Linked DNA regions of Sus scrofa. The protein of the gene in region 5 purifies or fractionates together with the protein of the main gene of each other region. This does not show direct contact. Links are inferred from orthologs where the notes say so. Each region holds a gene or a part of one and is shown on either strand. Other genes may lie near its edges. The genes, in order: PHF20L1, MSL3, PHF20, KANSL1 and KAT8.

Region 1 (4,484 bases), on a different chromosome or scaffold from region 5:
AAAAGAGAAGAAATAAGAGAAGGCCTGAAAGGATTACTCACTTAAAGCTGGAAGTAGTAACAACCTGTCTTTAGGATGGTGCTCTGGGGAAGGAGAAGATAAATGGGGTTTTGGTTTTAGATGCTAACCGTCAACACACGCTATGGTTTGAAAGACCACCTCTGACAAAGGCCAAGAAAAGGGGTTTATATCGAACTTTATCCACGACTTGGGAACGTGGTTATCTGGATTAATCCTCTCCCTCCCACTACCAAAGAGAGTTCATATTAAGTACACACAAGGACTGATACCTGTGAAAATCTGTTGAAGAGCAGGAAAGCTAAAATACAATGTATATGTTTATTCGAAATCTGAACACTTTAATGTTTCTGCCACTGTCAGGAGAAGAGCAATTAGCCAACCCACTGAGACAGCAGACACTGTGCGTTAAGGCAAGAGCTCCTTATCTTCCATACCATTTTTGTAAGTAGTCCAGTGCCTCCAAACGAGCACCAATCTCAAAAGTGATTCCAGGACGATTTGGGGGCTTTTTACTCATCTTGAGATCCTATTCTTCAGGATTCTCTTTTCACTACCTCAAGAGAAAAAAAAAAAAGTTAGACTCTGATGCATAAAAGGCATAAGGAATTAAACAGAATTTAAAAAAATTACATGAGAGTTTAAAATAACTGTGCAGTTTTTTGGAAATTTGAATGATGATTATAAGTATCTCTAGGTAAAGTATGGAACAACTTACAATCTTAATACTGAATTAAGAAAAAGCATATTAGAAAGATAACTATTTTAAAAGAATGACTAGATGGGGTTAAAATTAGCTAATGGCTAAAACGCTTTAAATTTTAACTTGAAAACGCCCAAGAAAATTCTCCATGATAATGGGTGAAAATGTTTCCATCTTTGAAAAGTCATGACCACTGAGTGTTCTGGAATATGACTACTGAAATTCTTAGAAAAAGTTAACCAAGTTTTTCAACAAATATTTATTTAAGTGGCTTATAATACAAAACACTTAATAAGACACTAAAGAGTACAAAAAAGGAAGAAGCAGTAGACACTCCTCCTCTAGTGATGATTTTAATAATTCCTCTTGTGATTAGGGTTTATCATTACCTGTGATCTCCCATATTGGTAGCATATGATTCAACGATTTTAATTTAACATATAAAGTTGCAAAGGAAATTCCCTTCTAATTCTTCACATTCAATAACCAACAAGGATATGGATTTTTTTAGCTCTGAGAATTTATTTCCACTATATTTCAATATAAACAGTGCTCACACTGTCAGTAAAAGGGCTGTACGTTTAAACAAACAAGAAGCTACAAAGGAATACTTATTCCTTCCTAGACCATGGACATGTGGAATATCCACTATCCTTTTGGCCAGTGGCTGCCCAGCATTATCTGAGGGAGCCTCTTTTTCACTAACCAGCACCTGAAACATATGAATGCGTTATAAGCTAGCCATCAAAATATAACACCCAGTCAGGAAAGCAAACCTACTGTTACTGGGGGAGAGGAAAAATCCCTAAAACCTTTTTGATATTTAGAATTATTAATAAGACTATGCTCCCTCTCAGTTTTAAAAAGAAAACACACAACTGTGTCGTGTTTTTTCAGGGGTTTAAAAGGGACAAACACCAACAGCAAATATAAAAACCAAAACTGCCTTTTCCTCTTTCAAAGAATCTGACAGACGAAGGAAAACAAGTGCAAAATACATGCCAAATACAACCCCAATACATGCCATAAAAACATGTTAAGATCAAACTTAAACACTCATGGGGAGGTGGGGAGGAGGGCGGGGGAAGCTATGCTCCTGCCTGCCTTGGCAGCAGCAAAAACCAGTGCATTAAAGTTAACAGTAAGCTCAGCCAGACGGCATCTGGTGTAAAAGAAACAATAGTATGAATATTTTTATTAGCGGTCTGATCAGTGTGCAACATACAAAGCAGTTACTTAAATGTTTGTGTAGAAATCTAATCCATTTTTTCTGCTGTTCTTCACAGAAAGAACTTAGTAAGGGGTAATCTACCAGTTACACGAACATTTTCTAGGATCAAATATAGAACCCATAGAAGTGACAAGAGTTAAGGCATATAACCGCCGCAGTGATACTTCGGGATGAGGCACCAGAACAGGCAAGATTTCCTTTTTCTTGGCTGGAGAGGGGAGGATGGGGAGGGATTTGAATTAAGAAAAAGTAAGACAAAGTAAGAGAGTCTATTGGGGACAGCCTTGAAGCAAAAACAGAAAAGGGGACATAGGAAAGGGGAGAGAAATAAAATCGGGAAGGAAAACGAACAAGAAAGCAAAAATACGTCAGGGTGGTGAAACTTGCGGACATGACAAACGAGAGGAAAGAGAAAATTAGCAAGAAGATACAACGCTGGGAAAGTAAAACGTTGGTCAAAGAACAGCCGCGAGGCCAAATAAAGGGGGAGAGGTGATAGGGGTGGGAGGGGGTTGGCCAGAAATAGACCAGAAAGGCTCAGACCCGGCCCGCAAGCGGGGAGCAGGAGAAGCCTCCAGGTTTGACAGCCCTCCGGCCCTCCGAAGGGGGGAAGGAAGGGAGGGGTAGAGGGAGCGGCAGAGCCCAGACAATAGGGGCGGCGAGTTAAGGGGAGGGATGAGGGAGGGGAGCGGGCCCAAGAGAGACACCAGCGCGGGGGTGTCCCTGGCGGCCAGGAGGGAGCCAAGCGGCAGCCAGGCCCTGCCGCCGCCGCCGCCGCCTCTTACCGACTCGGCCTCCTCTTTGCACAGTTGCCGGGCCGTCCGGGGCCGAGCCGGGGCGCAAACAGGACGGCCAGCCCGGGCCTCCGCCTCCGCCCGGGCAGCGGTCGGGGAGCGAGCAGGAGCGGAGCGCGCTGGGACCGCAGCGCTGGGTCGGGCCCGAGGTCGCGCGGGAGGGAGCAGGTCCGAGCCCTTCAAGCCCGCTCGGTGTCCACTGCCATCGCCTCCTCCGCCGCCGCCGCCGCCGCCGGCCAGCCCTGACGCGACGCCGGGCCCCGGCGACGTCAGCCGCCCGCGACGCGCCGGAAGCGGGCCTGGCCGTGTCACGTGACGCGCGAGGGTTGGGCCGGGGCGGGGCGGCCGATTGGAGGGCCGCCCTGGGAGGCGGGGCTATGCGGCAGTTGGCTGGTCGCTAGTGGGAGGAGCCCTGGTTCGCGACGGAAGGAACGCGGGCTCCGGGACCCCATTGGCAGTTGTGAAATCTTTTGACATTTGAGTGATGAGGTCGAAGCCCATCGAATGCTACTGTTGTTGATTTGTGAGGAACCAGGTTGTCAAAATGCCTCAATCCCAGCGTTCTGGGCAAACTTTTGTAAATGCGCATTTTCTCAGCTATCCACCCCATTCCACATTAAGAATAGAGCAAGTGGTTACTGTTACGAAATAAGGAAACTTCTACTGAATGAATACTTTGTGACAGGCACTGCGCTGTAAGTACATCACATGACAACCACAATCGCACAATTGTATTGCTCTGTAGTCTAGGAGATCCTTAGAACACAAAAGGCAAATATTCCTAAGACATTCTGTGTGGGGGTGCGTGCATGTACACATGCAGCTGAAGATCTTCGGTTAAATTGATGTGACTTTCCCAAAGACACAACTACTCTTCTTGAACACCTGTCATATCCCAAACTCTGTACTAGGCACACTGTAGGGGAAACCAACAAGTGAACACATTTAAAACAATATTGAAATGCAGCATCTTTAATCACTCTCTTTCCATGGTGCTACTCTAGTTCTCAAGCTTTCTAAATACAACATTGCATAAAAATAACACATTTATCATGCTTTACAGAGTGGAGTTAAAATAGCATAGTATCACTCTTTAAGCTTCAATTATAGTGAGATTCAGTAATTTAAACAACCACACTCATATCCTTTTATTCAACACATTTAATCAGCACTTACTGTGTTACTAATAGCTACTGAATTAGACTTGAGCATGGCAGTATAGAAAACATAAATAAAGACAGTGTCTAGTGGACTTACGTCTTCTTAGTTTTTGGTTGCCGGGCATTTGAAATAATCAATTCCCCATGTTTGGGAAATTTCCCATCATAGTTGCAATTAATGGCAGTACTCCATATCTTTCCAGAATCTTCTGTACACACGGCAGGATAATACTTTACACCCTCCTTAGAATTATGTATGACCATCTGATTTGCTTTGGCTAATAAAATGAAATTGGAGGCAAATTTTTTTATGGCCAGTTGCTAATTTAAAAAGCCAGTTCTCCCAGCTTTCTGTCTCTGGCAAAGCAAAAGGCAATTTTTGACATGGTGGCTGCTCTAACAACCCATGTTCTAAATGGATTATGATGATGCTGATGCTAAGCCACAAGTGATGTGTAGTATAAGGAAAAAAGTCAATATTTGTTGGTTTGAGATATTGAAATTGTTTGTTGCACAGAATAACCTAATGCAAACTGACATATACTTCCACCTTATGAGTCTTGGGGCAAAGTGAACCT
Region 2 (3,726 bases), on a different chromosome or scaffold from region 5:
TGATCCCAGCCAGGAATGTGCAAGTCCAGACTTCCCCCTGATGCGACGGGGCAGCAAAGACCACTGGGAGAGTCTCAGGTGGTCAGTGTGCAGAGCCCTGGTTAAAAGGAGGCTGCAGCCGAAGCACTTGCAGAGCGGGGAAAGCACTAAGGTCTCGAGCATCACTGTGAGAGCCCCCCTGATTCCGACTGTTTACTAGGAAAATCCTACTTCTTCGCGAGCGCTTGCAGCTGTGCCTACAACCACTAGATGGTGGCCTTGCGCCAGTGACCAGAGTGGGAATGGCCCTGCCTCAATAGTCACACGTTGAGAAAGAGGACTCCCCTTGAATAATAGCACGGGCAGGGCCTTCTTGTCTCAAAAAACGGGATATTAGTGACTGCTTGTAGCAGAAATTTCCTAACCTTCGTTAAACACCACTGTAACACAAACTGGGTTTTCTGTCAGGGGTCAGCCAACTTAACAGCCCTTGTGCCAAATCCAACCTGCGTGTGCTAAAAGTTATGTTTATAAATAGTTCAAAAAATCAAATAATATTTCACAACATATGAAAATCCTATGCAATTCGATCACCAGCGTGCATGAATGAATCGGGGGGGGGGGCACACAGAACACCTGCTCATTTGTGAACTGTCCACACCGCCTTCACACTGGTGCACAACCCCGAAAATATTCAATCAGACCTTTTATAAGAAAAGTTTGCCGAAACCCCGTCATCAAACATTCGGTGTAGCAAAGCCGTCTTTGTCTGTGTACAGAAGCAAGGAAGCTCCACCCCCTCAGCAAGATTAACAGGACAGCCCAGCGAACGAAGGCATCTCCGGAACTCCTGAAACGCTATCCGCTTCAGTTAACTGGCCTTAAAAATATTACTGTTAAGGATGGGTTTTATATTTTTAAATGGTTGGAAAAATACCCAAAGCAGAATATTATCTCATAACTTACAAAAATTATCTGATATTCAAATTTCAGCATCCATCAATAACATGCTATTGTGACACGACACACTCATTCACTTACATATAGTGTCTACACCTGCTGTGGAGCTGGGGGGCGTCTTGATGGCAACCGTGTGGCCCACAAGCTTTAAAATATCTAGCCCCTGGCCTTTTGCAGAAAAAGTGTGCTGACAACTGTTCTATAAAATGAAAACACTCCTACTTCTCTGAAACAAAAGATGAGCGTTAAGTGTAGGGCTGGTGTCCGGACCACTGTTTCATCTTAGACACAATGAACACAATGTCACACTTCGTGTGAACCCTTCTGTTAACATCCAGGGCAAGTGCGACATAATGTTTCTTCTAAGGAGACTCTGTTTCCTCCCCGGGACTTGAGCAACTGCGGGAGCCAAGACTCGCTGGGGATGAACAACAGACACGAACGCTTTACCTCATTGATTTCATTAGTTCTTCTGCCTTCAAAGCCAGCAAACACCGTGCTCCCTTCCTTGCTGGGGGTTAGAGGAACAGGCGAGGAAGATCTGCTATGAACAGGCGTCTCTTCAAAAGGAAACAATGTTGGTTATTCACCTGTAAATCACAGGGCTGCTGCCAGACTATTACCAACAACAGGGAACGTATTCATCTGTAACAGTAAGACCTTCCGATGAAAGACGGTCCCTGGACTATTATTTGGTGGGGAAAAAGGAAAGAAAAGGCGTCAAGTAGGGATACATGCTGCAACGTGATGAACCCGGAACACGTTATGGCAAGAGAAAGAAGCCACAGACCAAAGGCCACGTACTGTCTGATTCCACGGAGAGGAATTCAGGCCCAGAAGAGGCGAATGCATAGGAACAAGAAGGGAGGAGTGGCTGCCTCATGTGACAGATTAGGGCTGGGATGGGGGCATAGGGAGGCACTGCCAACGGCCTCCTGAGCCGCGCTGAGCTGAAGGCCTGGGCGAGCTGCCTTCGCCCAGCTGACTGCCGATGAGGGCATGTGCCTCGGGAGCCTCCGGCAGGCCACCCTCCCAAGTCGAGTTCCCGCAGCCGAGCTGGCGAGTCTGGCTGGGACCGCGTGCTCGGCCCGTGCTTCCCCAGCCCCTCCTGCCGCCGGACTCCTTCCCGCAGCGCAGGGCCAGGCCCAGCCCAAGCACGAAGGAGACGTCCGCTCTGTCCGCCCGGGGGAGGGACCTACTCTTTTCCAGGTGGAGGAAGAGCTTGGGCATGCTGGCCGACGTGTCCTGCTGCCGGCGCTTGGGCTGAGGAGAGGCGCTGCTCTCAGACAGCCTGTCGCAGTTGGCGGAGTGGCGCGTGGACCGCCTCAGGGACTGCAAGGCTTCGGGCTCGGCTTTGCGCCTCTTGGGGGTGGCTGGCTCGCCGGTGGTTGGCTGGCTCTCCGTGGACTGTGGTGTGGACGGATTCAACAAAGGTGGGCTTGGCGAGAGCTCCTCCTGGTTCCTAGGGAAGAAAGCGCAAAACGTGACAGGTGCCTGGCCTGCCGAGTTGCTGCCAGACCTGGAGGGAATCCGCAGTGTCCTCCTCCAGACAGTAAGCGCACCGGCCACTCCGCCCCAGCAGGGCCAGAAACTCACTTCCAAATGGGCCAAAACAGGGATTTTTCTTAAAAAGTAACAGGACACACACTCTGTCGCTTGAATGCTCTCAGTGACTCTTCAAGGCACACTGGCATTTAAGACGGTGGTGCCCCTTCCTAGGGGTCTCAGTAGGCAGTGATTCCACTCTGCCAGGGACACTGACACCCTCCGAAGAGCTCGGACTGTCACGACCAGAAAAACGCGACGGGCATCCAATGCGGGAGAAGCCCGGCATGCAGCACAGCAGCCCAGAGTGCACAGGGCGGCCCACTGCCAAGGGCGACACAGGTCAAAACACCAGGAAAGCCGAGGCTGAGAAAGCCCGGGCGAGAGAGGAAGAATTCCACACTGTCCCAGCGCCACGGAACCACGGAGAGAGGACAGGAGACGCCGCCCACGCTGCCCAAGCTTTGCAGAAACACACAGTCCACCCCAGACACTGGGAACCTCAAGGTTGCGAGCAGGGCAGAGGGACATCCACAGAGGTCCCCAGTGAGTCACATGGGCCTCTCCAGGGGGGCGGAATCAACGGGGAAGGAAAGTGGGCTGAGAAGAGACGGCCAGGAGGCAGACCGAGAACCAGGAGACAGGCCCCCTGGGAAGGGGAGGGTGACCGACGCGGGGTGCGGCAAATGGGAAGGCGCCAGTGCCCTGGGGAGCAGAGGGAGGTGGGACACAAAGGCAGACCCTAAACACCCAAGAAGAGAGGGCTGAGTGGCAATCACGAGACGGGACCACTCTCTCACTCGGGAAGAGAGGCCTTAGGCAGATAGGGAAGTAGCTGACGGTAGGTGGGGGGGACTTTTGTTCCCCCCAAAGAATAGAGATGTGGGCATGCTGGGTCACCGAGGGAAGAAAGTGGTGACACAGCAGAGCGGGAAGGAAACTAACCCCTCCTTGAAGGCCAAAGGTGGCTGGACCTTCGCAAACTTCCTCATTTAATAACTATCTGCGGAAGCCAATGTTCTTTCTTTTTTTCTTTTCTTTTTTTTTTTTTTACAGGGTACTTTTTATTTTTTATTTTCTTGTCTCTTTGCCTTTTCTAGGGCCACTCCCACAGCATATGGAGGTTCCCAGGCTAGGGGTCGAATCGGAGCTGTAGTCGCCAGCCTGTGCCAGAGCCACAGCAATGCAGGATCCGAGCCCCGTCTGCGACCTACACCACCGCTCACAGCAATGCCGAATCCT
Region 3 (4,347 bases), on a different chromosome or scaffold from region 5:
ACACAGATAGAATACCAAATAGGCAAATAAGAGACAAAGTACCTGTTTGCTTTCTGTAAACCATATTTTATTAGGTACTGCCCAGACCTCCAACTTTTTTTAATGAATTTGTACTTACTGGTGACCATATGATCTAAATGTGGGATCTATTTTCACTTCCTGAAGTATCACAGATCTAGGGTTTTCACACACATGAAATATAAATCAACTTCGTTGTTTTGAAAATACAACGATTAATTTTATTCAAGTTCCAACACTGAGTTCAGAGCACTTCTCCACAAGCCTCAATAACTCCTACAGGTTCCTGGGAGTATCATTAAATCTCCCAGCATCCCTAAGAAGCAGGTGCTTGGCAAACATCCAATCCTCAAATGAGATTCAGAAGGACATGGTCCTGAAAATGCAGTATTTTCCTGACTTATCCTGCCAGGGTAGCTTCTCAGCCTCAAACTCTCTCCCCCACTGAGGCCTCATACAGCTGCACACTCAAGTACTTCCCAAAAAGGAGAAAGGTCAGAGGTGTCATTATCCCATAAGCACTTGAGATTCCAGCTGCGGAGAAATTAATCTGGTTAGGGTTCTGGCTGAGAAGCCCTGAGTAAAATCTGGAAAGACAGAGGGAAACACAAAAGAAAAGAACCTAGTGAGAGGCTTTTAAGAGAAAAGGGGTCTCAGACATTTGCAGATTTTAAGGTGGGGGTTAGGAGAAAGGCTAGGCAGCTAAGTGAGAGGATTACAAGGAGAGATAAATATTCATGCCCCCCACCTGTACCCCAGGAACAAGAAAAAAAGAGTGACCAGGAAATTCCTCCAAATTACCTCTTCTCCTGATAAAAGAAAGGAAGGAACCCAATGTAGGGAAGACGTTTATGAGCTGAAAGCAAAACTAAAGAATCTCGAGGGTTTTTTTCCTTTTGTTTTTTTTCCCCAATGAAGGGAAACGAAGCAAAGGAGAAAATAGTGCCCATCTAATCAGACTCTTATAGGAAGCAAACCACCAGGAAGATTAAGAACCCTGTGAATAATCAGAGAAATGCAAGGGAATTCCTTTCTGTTTAAATCCAGCCCTGGGGAGTCAGGCAGTCCTGGACTTGAGGCCACTTCCAGAGCAAGGGGAAGAAAGGGGAAAATCTGTAGAGCTACCAGCAAGCAGAACAGTTTCCAAAGGAAGAAAGAAACCAGAAAAAAAATGCCCCAGGGATAGGGCAAGCCAAAAGGAAAGAGTTCCTGTTAGCAGAAAGATAAGAGAGAAGACACAAGAAAGAAAATGTGCGGGGGGGGGGGGGGGGGGGGCGGGGAATTTAGAGGTATGAACATAGGAAGTGTGCTCAGAAAAAAAGGCCACAGAAGCATAGAAAGTGTAGGGCTGAAAAAACATATACATTCACCAAAGGAAGGAAGAGGAAATAGGTGCACTGACCAGAGAGACCAACTAAAGGGAAACGTGGTTCCAAAGAGGGAAGAAAACTGAGGACAGAAAATATCTTGGATGGCAGAAAAGCTTAAGAACCACAAACCATCCCCTGGAAATAAGAGGACTCAGAAAAAAGGTGTGCCCTCTGGATATAATAAGCATCAGAAAGGTGCCTACATCCTGCATAACCGAAGGAGTGCATGCTGTACATTTGGGGGGCACTAGAACCAAGCACACTTTAACGTAAGAAAGTAAGTCTCCCCCAGGAAATAAGGTGGTCTGATTTGGAGGACTCATGAAAAAGGATGCAACTCCAAGAAGAGAGTGACTGAAAAAAAAAAAAAAACACTGAATTCTCTTGTATAAATACAAATATGTATTCCCAAACTTCAGGATTTGAATCTCATTTTCGAGACTGGTAATGAAGTGCACGCCCAGATTTGAAGGGTTAGGAGAGGAAGCAGCCCCTACAATGAAGAAATTCTGGAAAGCACGTTACCAGATTTTGGGCCTAGAAAAGGAGATTCTTCCTTGGATTTATGGGAACATAAGTACTCCCAAAACTCTGGTTCCTGGGCTCCAGATTTTAGACTCGCTAATGGGATGAACCCCCAAATTTGAAAGGAAATGCTTATTCAACTGGAGGCTCGAAATGGGAGTGCCCTCCCAGACTGAGGGGGTCGTGGGTCAGGAGGTACATCCTCAGTTGAGGAGGCTCTACAAATTAAGATAAAACTCCATGGCTAGAGCTTAAGAAAGGGGATGCACCGACCACATTTTGCAAAACTATAGAGAAAGGGGACACTCCCATAGTCAAGGGCTTGGAGAAGGGGTGTGCTCCCCAGAATACGATAAAAGAGTCAAGAAAAGAAAACGCGTTCCCGAAGCACAAGGAAACAGCAGGGGTTGGTGGTGGAGCCCTCCGGGGCCACAGAGCTGAGGATCCAGCCCTAGCGCTTACCCCCCACCCCCAACACGGCCCGCTCCGCGCCCGGGGCCCGCACCCCGCGGCTCAGCCCCCTCGGGCGGCGCTGATTGGTCGCAGCCACTGTCACTCTCGCGGGCAGCCCTGGGGATTGGGTGCCGCTCGCACGCCCGCCACGCTCTCGACAGCGGTCCCTGGGCCTCCCTCCAGGCTGGGCAAGCTGGGCCAGGCGGGGAGCGGGGCCGGGCAGGGGACCGGAGCAGCGGTGGCGTCCGTCACCGTCCCTGCCCGCACGGCGCGCGCAAGCGCGCGCGCGCGGCGCGGGCCCGACCCGACCCGGCCCCAGCCAGCCGGCTTCGCCTCGCCGCGCCTCGCCGCGAGCTCACCTCACAGCCCCGCTCCGGCTGCGCCGCTCCAGGACCAACCGACAGAAGGGCTCTGCGTGCTGCGCACCACGTGACCCCCGGGACGCGCCCAGCGTATCCCCCGCCCCCCACACACACGCACCATCGCCACCACCGAGTGACGCAGCGCCTCAACTGCCCCGCCCTTGGCCCCGCCCCGTCCCTATCACCGTGGCGACGGCCCTGGCGGGTCACACCCACGGCCCTGACGCGCGGGAACTGGCCTGCGCCCGGATCCGAAGCACGAAGTACCGATTCGCCTGTTAATTTTGCCTCCTAAATGCATCTCGAAGCCTCCTACTTCTCTCCATCCCGCTGCCAACATTCCACTCTAGTCCACCTTAAACTCTCTTCTGGATGGTGGTTATTATCTTCTCCATCTCCTTACTCTTACCCCTTCCAATCCATTCTTCACACTCAGCTGGAGCTTTTCAAAACGCAGCTATAGTCACAGCCATCCCCTGCTCAAAACTCATTACTCACTGTTCTTCAGATTAAGATCTAAATCATCATTGTATTCTATCAGGCTTTTCAGAGTCTGTGCCTAATGTGCCTCTCTCGCATTCTCACACATTCAGATCTTAGCATCCTTCAGGTCCCCAAACAAGCCAGGTTCGTTCCTGCCTCAGGGTTTTTGCCCTCATCTCTCCTCCACTTTACCTCATTAACTTCTTGGAAAGGATTCCAATAGCTGGTGTGGAGACGAGCTGTATTCTGCCTCAAAGGATTAAGGAGGAAGCCTCAGAAGGGTCTGAGATGCTTTCCCAATGAGACTTGGGAAGTCCTAAAGAGAAATGCTAAACATTTGTTTTTTTTTAGAAAGGCAACAACGACTTTATTTTATATTGGAAAAACTGGGTCGCTAGATTGCACTTCTTAAAATGTAAATGTAATCATGTCACTCCCCCTGCTTAAAACAACCAATCTCTCCTTCAAATACTCTCCTCCCTGCTAACCCTTTGGCCACAATGACCTGCTGTCCATTTTTTTGGTTCCATTCTCTTTCCAGGTGCTAGGCCATTGACGAGGCTGTTGCTTTTGGCAAATCTGACTCTTTAAAGATCTGTTTGTCATCTTCTCAGTGAAGTCTTCTTTTTTTTTTTTTCTGTTTTTCTATTGTTATAACTATTCCAGTGAGTGTGAAGTGGTAGCACATTATGGTTTTAATTCACATTTTTTTTCTTTTTTAAAATGTATTAATTAAAGAGTAGTTGATTTACAATATTGTATTAATTTCCACTGTACAGCAAAGTGACTCAGTGATACGCATATATAGTTTTTTTTTTTTTTTTGACCAAAACTGCTGGCATGTGGGGGTTCCCAGCCAGGGATCTAACCTCTGCCACAGCTGCAACCTGTGCCACAGCTGCAGCAATGCGGATCCTTAACCTGCTGCACCACCTCCCATACATTCTCCTATACCTTCTATTATATTCTTTCCCATATTGTTTACCATGGGATATTGAATATAGTTCCCTGTGCTATACAATAGGACTTTGTTGTTTATCCATTCTATACATAATAATGCATCTGCTAACCCCAGACTCTCCTGCCATCCCTCTCTCTTGGCAACTACCATCTGTTCTCTATGTCTGTGAGGCTTT
Region 4 (4,275 bases), on a different chromosome or scaffold from region 5:
ACCTCTGATTTATTCACCGCATTAATTTGGAATTCCACAGAGCAGATACCACAAAACAATCTTAGCCACACTAGAATCTAGCTCTAGAAGAAGGCAACCTGTACCACCTGTAAGCTGGTGGGGGCCTTGCATCATTCCATACTTTTCTCTCCATCCTCCCTCCCTGTTTCCTCCTACATGTATCTTAAGCTTGTCCTCTGCTTAGTTCTAGTGGAGAGAGTCCTTTGGCCATCTACGTACAAGAAACTAGAAGTAACAAGAGACTGGAGAACCACCACATCAATAAGAGCTTTTTCATGTGTCCACACTGCCCCAAAGAGGTTTATCCTATGAGATGAAAATTGGCACAAAGTGCTACCTGTTGAGAAAAACAGTATAAATTCACATGCAAAGGACTAGGAAGTAGCAGGAGAACCCTCCGACAGACTATACACGTAGAGGAACAGGTCTTAGAATGTTCTAATACACTAAAATGAAGTTTCAGAGTAAACAAATGGTTAGTGACACATCTTTTGTAACACATGAATCAGCTTCAGATTTGCAAGAGTGGGACACACCCTAGCACCTATGACACTAAAGCACTCGTTTGAAAGTGGACCTGGCTGTTTGAATTGCCATCCATCCTACTGAGATTGGGAACACAGTTTTATAAGTTTGTAGGCTGTCATAATTTAAAGTCAAAAATAAACACATTATTGTAATCTGAGAATATCAGTAGTTAAGAACAGTAGCAACACAAAGTAAAGAGGAACTGATCAATCCTCAGAAGCAAACACAACAGCAGTTTTTTCAAGGGAAAGGCGAACTGCAAATTCAAGAATTAGAAAATCCTCAATTCTAAAGAAAAAGAAATACAGTGAGACCTTTAATTAAAACAAACAAACAAACAACAAACAAAAAAAACCCACACACATCTTACCTTAAGAGGCATCCAAACAGCATTCATAGTGTCAGGAATAGTTCAGACAATACTCAGAAATGAGCAAGAAGGAGTCTTAGTAACCCCTCTGTCACCAAGTATGAGCAGGTAGGAAAAATTTTTTTGTTTCAAGAAGGTATCTGAAAGAGAAGACTTTCATTTAGATTAAAAAATAATCAAGAATAAGCAAACAGTTTAAGTTATCTGCTTTTTTTCGGGGGGGGGGGAGGGGCGGCGGACTCATGGCATATGGAAGTTCCCAGGCTAGGGGTCGAAGCAGAGTTGTATGCTAGTCAGATTCATTAACTGCTGAGCCACAATGGAACTCCAGTTTAAGCTATCTGGACAGAGAGTTGAAGTACTATTTGCTCACCATCTTAAAAAGATGTAGAAAATACCATCCCCTTTGGAAAGGGGCAAATGTGTGTGATATATGCATCTCCATACATACGCAGAAATATATTTTTACATAAAATTGGATTAAATATGTAACACATATTTTAGATAATACAAAAATTGGTTATCAAATAATTAGAAAACCAAAACCATTTTCCCCAGACAGAAAGATGATTAGCCAAGGTATTTCATAAGCACTATTAAAAAGTAACTTGTTAATAGATCACCTAAAAAAGACCCTTTAATTTCACTTAATAAATCAAACCTCTCTGATCATTCTGATTGTCCTAAATTTCCTTAAGTTTAAGTTGCAGAGCCCATTCTACATGAAAAATACAATCCATTCTTGATCGAAGTGTTATAAACAAATAAGAGATCTTTCTTGCCTAGAGATCTTTAAAAGCAGACCAAATAACTTAATTCTGGGGATGGGAGGGAGGCAGGGTTGTCTGGAGGCAGGAGGATGGATTAAATGACCTCTTGTAGGATCCCTGTTCAAGTCCTAGGCCTGAATGAAAATTCCAGCTTAACCAGTTACTGTTTTACTTAAAATGGAGGCTTGCCCGAATAGGGACAAAAATACAGCACCCACCTCTCTAAAATAAATGTTTAAAATTTAAAGACTATAGTACCCTCATTTCTAAGAAAAATTAAAAATAAAACCTCTGGAGTGGATTTGTTCTTGCTATGCGTTTATCACAGCAGCTTCGAAGACTTGGCATCACTTTCCTCACCGCTCGTCGGATTGGGGAGGGGTTAGGTGGGGGGGGGGGCAGTTTGACTCTTGACCCAGTCTCGGGAGGGTTTAAGCCACTCCATGATCTCCACCGCAAAAGCAAACCGGTGAGGAGAAGGGGACAGCTCGAGTTCCCACCCCTCCCCCACCTTGGACCCTAGTCCCAAACCTACCCCCCTCACCTTCCCGCAGTGGGGCGACTCCTTCCTGGCCCAAACCCATTGTTGGGAAGGGGACGATAAGGAGAGTGGGCTCTGAGCAGAGGCGCCTGTGGCGGTTGCCCTGACTCGCTTCAGGAGGGGGCGGCCCGCAGGATGCAGCTTCCCGTCCTCTCCGCGTCGGTCCGTCCCACCTCGGCTCGGCCTGGCGCTCCGGGCTCTGCTCGGCGCCCCCATCCCCGGGCCCGGCCCAACCCGCCCCCTGAGCACCAGGCCCCGGCCCCTCAGCCGGGAGCCCGCAGCCCAGGCCTGCGGGTGGGCGCGGGGCGGGGGTCCCTATGCCCCCCACACACACGTCCCCTCTCCCCCAGCCCAGCCGTTTCCAGGGCCCTCGGCGGCGCCCGCTCCCCGGGCCCGTCGGCTCCCCGCCTCCCGGCCGGGGCGCCCCCTCGGCCTCCAGAGGTCGAGGCCGCCTCTTCTTCCCCACCATCACCCCTACCGACTTGTGCCCCCACCCCCCCGGGCACCAGTGCCAACGGCGGCTACCCCGGCCCCGGACCTACCTGCACGGCTCAACCAAGCCTAGAAGTGGGGGCGGGGAAATCTTCCGCCCTCCTCTGTCTCTCATTGGCCTTTCCGGGGGACATCGGGGGCTCCATTGGCTAATGGTGGATGTCCGTCAGAGCGGTGGGGCGGGACAGAGGGGGAGAGGGATGCTGGTGCCTTGGCGTCTCTGTCTCTCTATCTCGCTGTCTCTGTCTCGGCTCTTGGAAACAAGAGACATTTGGATAGGAGGACTGGAAGGGGGCCTCAGGTGGAAGGAAAAGAAATAGAAATGCTGGCAGAGCTTCCCATCAGTATGCCACTCTGAACCCCCACCTAAGTCCCCTTTAGATCCTCTTCTCCATCACCCCCAACCCCAGCCCCTCACCCTTGTAGGTTCTTCATCCAGGAAGCTACATGATGAAAAGTTGAGGCCGGAAGGCCATGAGAGGAAATTTCATATATGTATATAAAATATACACATACAAATACTTATATATAAAGTCAACCGGATATAAGGTTATGAGAGCCAGGAGAGGAAAAGGCACACATCTCAGACAAGGAAGGGCTTGAGATATAGCCAATATAAGAAAGAATCAAAAATCGCTCTAAGAACTGGTAACAGTGGTTTCCTCCTGGGAGGGGAGCTGAGGGGAACAGGTGGGAGCAAGACTTACATTTCACTGCATATCCTTTTGCAGCTTTCGATTTTTGTACCATTCACAAAGATTCCCATTTTTTGGAAATTAATTGGCTTAAATTTTGAAATAATCATAAGGTTGCAAAACCAGGGGGACAGATAAGATGGTAGTCCAGGCAAAGTGGGACAACATGCAGAATTGGGAAGAAATCTTAGTTTTTAATATGTCCAGTCCCAGCTACCAGTAGTAAAACCAAGTGAATGTGTCCCAGAGGCTACTAGAGCTATGGAACTTGGGAAAGGGTGGATAATCTGGAATAAGGGAGATTTAGAGCTCTCCACCTAAATATAGTGATCAATGGCAGGCTAAAAGATTAAACTCCTGATAGAAATTTAAAAGACACCCACAATAAAAGTCAGGAGTGGGAAAAGAAACAGAAAGAGAGTCCGTGAGATAAGAAAAACAGAATAATGAAAGTATTCTTACCAACAGAGGTATGAAAGTTAAGGGAGGGAGGGTCTCTGGAAAGAAAAAAATAATAAAACTATGAGAGCCTCACAGGTCTTACAACTCACTTCAGAGACCCTCTTTAGTCTTACTCAATAAGAATGAAAACAAAGAGAATACCCAAAAAGTAGAGTTCTTAACCTTTTCAAACCATGTACCCTTCTCAGAATGTTTTTAAATGCATAATAAACATATGCAGGAATTCAAAGAAAACCAGTAATAGCAAAATACAATTTTCAAAATATCTTTTAAAGTGTAGCATAGTAATATATGTGCTTTATAGTAAATGCATTCAATAATAAGATCAATGGGGGAGGGATAGTAGGAGTTTGAGACTAATACATACTCACTACTATATATAAAATAAATAACCAT
Region 5 (4,155 bases):
AAGCCCACAGCAAGCCATCAGAAGGATGAAATCACATGGTTTAAATAATGAATGTCTGGGTGCCTTGAGAGTTCCACGACCTCTGTTCTCATCTGCACGCCTCATTTCACAAATCAAGAAACTGAGGTTCAGAGTGGAAGGAAAGAAACCTCTGCAGGCTGGCTTCAAGAAAAAACCCAGGTTTTGCAAATAAATGGAGCTTCTAGATGTTCAAAGTTATGTCCAAGGGCGTGTGCCCCAAGTTGGACAATCTAGTTGGCAAATCTAACTCTTGACTGGGTTCTTAAACTTACCTGTACCTCTCTTGTGAACTGGGGATACAATGCTTACCTCACAGAGTTGCTGTGAAACGTCAATGAGATCAGTATTAAAACACTTATCCTGACACTGTGGCTCATAAGCCAATAAATGTTTGCCACTATTACCCTAGTTTCAGCCCACCCTTTTACTAGCAGTGTGACCTTGGGCATGTTACTTAACCTCGCTGAGCCTTCCTGCTTTCCTCAATTATTATCCCTGTGGTGCTGCGCTGTTAGGGAGGATCTGATTAGCTTGTACAGGTACCGCACTCTGCATGGCGCCTGGCAATAGCAAGTGCCCCAAATCACTCACTCTCTTCCTCCCCTTTGGACCTCACATCCATCTGTCAAGGCGGCACAGCCGAGAGGGAGGCAAAAGAGGCCACTGGTGCAAGAGGCCTGAGTTCCAGTCCCAGCTGGGCCATTTCGTTGCTGTGAGACTGTAGCCAAGCCCTTGCCATCTCTGAGCCTCAGTTTTCTTATCTGTGAAGAGGTAGGTAAAGTCCCCGACACCCGGTAGGGGGTTAAGAAATGGGAGCTGCTGTGGTTCTGGTACTGGGAGCCCAGGGAGTCTGCAGAGGCAGCTGAGCTGCCTCGAGCCGCCTGGGGAAAGGAGGGCTCGGACCTTCTGCACGTGGTTGATCTCATCGTGCTTGCGCTTTTGGTTGCGAGTGATCTTGCGCTCGGGCTGCTCAGCCAGCTCACTCAGGTACTTCTCCGAGTTCTTCTGCACGGCATCCTTCACTGTCTTGGTCAGTGCCAGCCGGTTCTTGTCTACCCATTCGTCCAGTCGCCGGTTAACTGTGAGGACGGGCCATGAGGGGGCTGCCCTTCCACCCCCATCCACCCCACCCAGACCGGGGCTACCCCAAGTCACTCACAGCCCACATAGTGTACATAGAATTCCTCTCGGCCCTCCTGATCGTTCACTCGAGACTGGATCACTTCAGCAGAATCTGTGGAGGGAGAAAAGAGCATCAAGTAAGACAGCAGGACTGGGGCAAGAGTGCTCCTTCAGGAGTTCCCACTGTGGCACAACAGGATCGGCAGTGTTTAGGGAGCACTAGGATGTAGGTTTAATCCCTGCTCCGGCACGATGGGTTAAGGATCCAGTGTAGGTTGCAATCGTGGCTCCGATCTGATCCCTGGAACTCCATACGCCACAGGGCGGCCAAAAAAAAGGATGCTCTTTCACACTGAGGAGCAGTTTCCCAGGTTCCAAGGCCAACTGTAAGCTGACCTCACCTGTTCACATCTGCCACTCCCTTCAATCACTGTCTGAGGTGGGCCAGACGGGGGCTGTTATTCTTATTTTAGAGATAAGGAAACTGAGGCTTACCCAGGCTCACCTATTTGAATAATGGTAAGAGCTAATACTTATCTGAATTTAAGTCTGGCTCCAAATTCAATACTCAGTGGTTTGTTTGTTCAGGGGTCCTGAGGACTAGCTGTGAAATAACACAGCCCCACTTCCTAGCTGTATTTAACTGAACAAGTTATTTTGGCCTTCTGAGCCTCAGCTTCTTCATCTGCAAAATAACGACAGCTGTGTCCGCCTCAAATGGTGAGTTAATGGCTCTGAAGCTTTCAGTATAGCATCTGACAAATAGCAGACCATTAAAGAAATGAGTAAGGCAACCCCTGCTTGTCTGATCCTGGGCTGGGTTGCTGCTGGGTACAGAGGATACAGTGATGGATCACAGGATGGACCTGCCCTCCAGAAGTTCCCACTTTGATAGAGGAAGACAAAGACAACATAATGGTACATATACCATGGTTCAGGTATGTAGAAAATGTTGCAGGAACACACAAAGGAACGACTCACTTTGCCTGAAGGGAGTCAAGAATGGCATCACGAGGGATATGATGCTAAAAGGATGAGTGGGGCTAGCCGGCTAAACAAGGAAAAGGGTAGGGCATTCCAAGCACAGGGCATAAGTGGTCTGAAGAGTGGACAGCGTGGTCTGGTCTGGCAACGGCCCTTACTAGGGCTGCTAAAACCAGACAGGTCACAAAGATGAAAGCCATTCTAAGGAATTCTGGGGTTAATATGGAAATGACTCAAAATAATAGAAGAAAAGGGGAAGTTCGTTTCTGTGTTCTGGGAGCTCCTCTCCGCTGGCAGCTGTCGGGGACGGATGCAAGGGGAAGTCACAGGGTCAAGGGCGACCAGTGAGGAAACGGGTTAACAAGAGAATGAAGACTAAGACTGGGCAAGGAAGTGGAGCGGGAGCTCTATACACAGCAGGAAGAATCTGGCTAACACCCGATAGGTGGGGTTTGCAGGCGGCGCCGGGGCGAGCCCGAAACTCCGCGTTCTCCCTGCTCAGGCCCCGCCCCGGCCATAAACCCCGCCCCCTGGCCCTGGGCCCCGCCCTCACGCCAGGTGCTATCCGGTCGCCGGCACAGGTACGTTTCTCCAATTTCCACGGTGACTTCCGGCTCTCCCCGCGCCGGGGTTGGCGGAGAGACGCGGCCTGGGGACGGGGCGGTCCCCTCGACCGCCGCATTCTCCCCAGGCCCGGGGTCGCCCTCCCCCGCGACCCCTGAAGTCGCCGCCGCAACGGCTGCAGCTGCTCCCTGTGCCGCCATCGCTGTAGTGGAAGTGACGCCAGAATCCGGCGCCGCACAGCGCCTTTAGTTCCGGGTCAGCGACGTGTAGCGGAGGCCGCAGTAGGCTGGAGGGTGGGGTCTGTGACGTAGCAGGCGCTCATTGGCTAGTGCGGCTGTCTCCGCGGCGCCGGACCAGATTGACGTTGACAGTGCCGGTTGCTCTGGAGTTACTTGGCTGACGTTTGGAACTGTGGCTGCACCCTGGAGTTGGAGAGCGGAGAAAGGCTTTCCGGATGTGATGTCTCAGATCGATATATATATATTTTTTGTCTTTTTTTGCTATTTATTGGGCCGCTCCCGCGGCATATGGAGGTCCCCAGGCTAGGGGTCGAATCGGAGCTGTAGCTGCCGGCCTACGCCAGAGCCACAGCAACGCTGGATCCAAGCCGCGTCTGCAACCTACACCACAGCTCATGGCAACACCGGATCGGTAACCCACTGAGCAAGGGCAGGGACCGAACCCGCAACCTCATGGATTCGTTAACCACTGCGCCACGACGGGAACTCCTCAGATCGATCTTTTAAAAGGCCCTGGTGCCTGAGAAAGCCAGGATATGCCAATTATCAGGGAGCACTGCCTCCACTTTACCAGGGCGGAGCCAGAGCAGCCTCCCTGGCTGTCTGGCTTTAGAGGTGAGCCTGGAACTAACACCCACCCCCCCCCTTCCGCCAGCCACATACAGGTCATCCCGTTTTTGAAGATTGAAGAACCTTCCTTCTTTGTTTAGGATGGGAAAAGGAGACAGTTGGGGTGGGGGAAGCAGAACGGTGTATCCTGGGACAGCTAGTAAACCACTCTCACAGTATCAAGCCTTTGTAAAGAAAGGGTCAGGTCCCCTAAACAGAAACTGGCCAAAGGCAGTGGACATAATGGAGAGCGTCTTGGACTGAGTGAATTAGGAATCCTGGGTTCTGACCCAACTCGGGAAGGTGTAGAAATGTGTTTGTTCCAAGAGCATAGTCAAAGATGAAACTATAAGTCAAGTATCTCTATAAAGGTTGAACCATATAGATATATATAGATATATCCCATGAATATAAAACAAGTATATTGAGCAATGCCAGGCAGAGTACGTGCTCAATTAAACCCTCCCTTTGGCCACTGTGAGTCATCTTTGACTTATAACTTGGTTATTGGGCTTAAAACAATTCTAAGAGAAGTGGAATGCTTAAGGTCTAAGTCTGAGGTTACAGATCAGGAAACACGCAAGTCTTTGTGAGGGATGGCAGTGGGAAGTGCTGG

The links.
Region 1: the proteins of KAT8 (region 5) and PHF20L1 purify together in Homo sapiens (affinity purification with mass spectrometry; 3 studies listed by BioGRID and IntAct, with this or other methods). This does not show direct contact. The link is inferred for Sus scrofa from reciprocal best matches to the Homo sapiens genes KAT8 and PHF20L1.
Region 2: the proteins of KAT8 (region 5) and MSL3 purify together in Homo sapiens (affinity purification with mass spectrometry; 4 studies listed by BioGRID and IntAct, with this or other methods). This does not show direct contact. The link is inferred for Sus scrofa from reciprocal best matches to the Homo sapiens genes KAT8 and MSL3.
Region 3: the proteins of KAT8 (region 5) and PHF20 purify together in Homo sapiens (affinity purification with mass spectrometry; 3 studies listed by BioGRID and IntAct, counting the BioPlex papers as one, with this or other methods). This does not show direct contact. The link is inferred for Sus scrofa from reciprocal best matches to the Homo sapiens genes KAT8 and PHF20.
Region 4: the proteins of KAT8 (region 5) and KANSL1 purify together in Homo sapiens (affinity purification with western blotting; 4 studies listed by BioGRID and IntAct, with this or other methods). This does not show direct contact. The link is inferred for Sus scrofa from reciprocal best matches to the Homo sapiens genes KAT8 and KANSL1.

Annotation. Positions count from the first base shown.
Region 1 is NC_010446.5:8,465,282-8,469,765, forward strand, and holds the start of PHF20L1 (PHD finger protein 20-like protein 1), read right to left. Parts: upstream 3,014-4,484; 5' UTR 2,738-3,013; intron 2,531-2,737; exon of another isoform or gene 2,291-2,530; intron 576-2,290; exon of another isoform or gene 572-575; 5' UTR 539-571; coding exon 456-538; intron 1-455.
Region 2 is NC_010461.5:8,525,751-8,529,476, reverse strand, and holds part of MSL3 (male-specific lethal 3 homolog), read right to left. Parts: intron 2,402-3,726; coding exon 2,139-2,401; intron 1,500-2,138; coding exon 1,390-1,499; intron 1-1,389. UniProt on the Homo sapiens protein: Non-catalytic component of the MSL histone acetyltransferase complex, a multiprotein complex that mediates the majority of histone H4 acetylation at 'Lys-16' (H4K16ac), an epigenetic mark that prevents chromatin compaction.
Region 3 is NC_010459.5:39,091,307-39,095,653, reverse strand, and holds the start of PHF20 (PHD finger protein 20), read right to left. Parts: upstream 2,830-4,347; 5' UTR 2,726-2,829; intron 1-2,725. UniProt on the Homo sapiens protein: Methyllysine-binding protein, component of the MOF histone acetyltransferase protein complex.
Region 4 is NC_010454.4:16,900,236-16,904,510, reverse strand, and holds the start of KANSL1 (KAT8 regulatory NSL complex subunit 1), read right to left. Parts: upstream 2,900-4,275; 5' UTR 2,773-2,899; intron 2,372-2,772; exon of another isoform or gene 2,234-2,371; intron 1,060-2,233; 5' UTR 920-1,059; intron 1-919. UniProt on the Homo sapiens protein: Non-catalytic component of the NSL histone acetyltransferase complex, a multiprotein complex that mediates histone H4 acetylation at 'Lys-5'- and 'Lys-8' (H4K5ac and H4K8ac) at transcription start sites and promotes transcription initiation.
Region 5 is NC_010445.4:17,370,202-17,374,356, forward strand, and holds the start of KAT8 (histone acetyltransferase KAT8), read right to left. Parts: upstream 2,910-4,155; 5' UTR 2,892-2,909; coding exon 2,681-2,891; intron 1,256-2,680; coding exon 1,181-1,255; intron 1,101-1,180; coding exon 925-1,100; intron 1-924.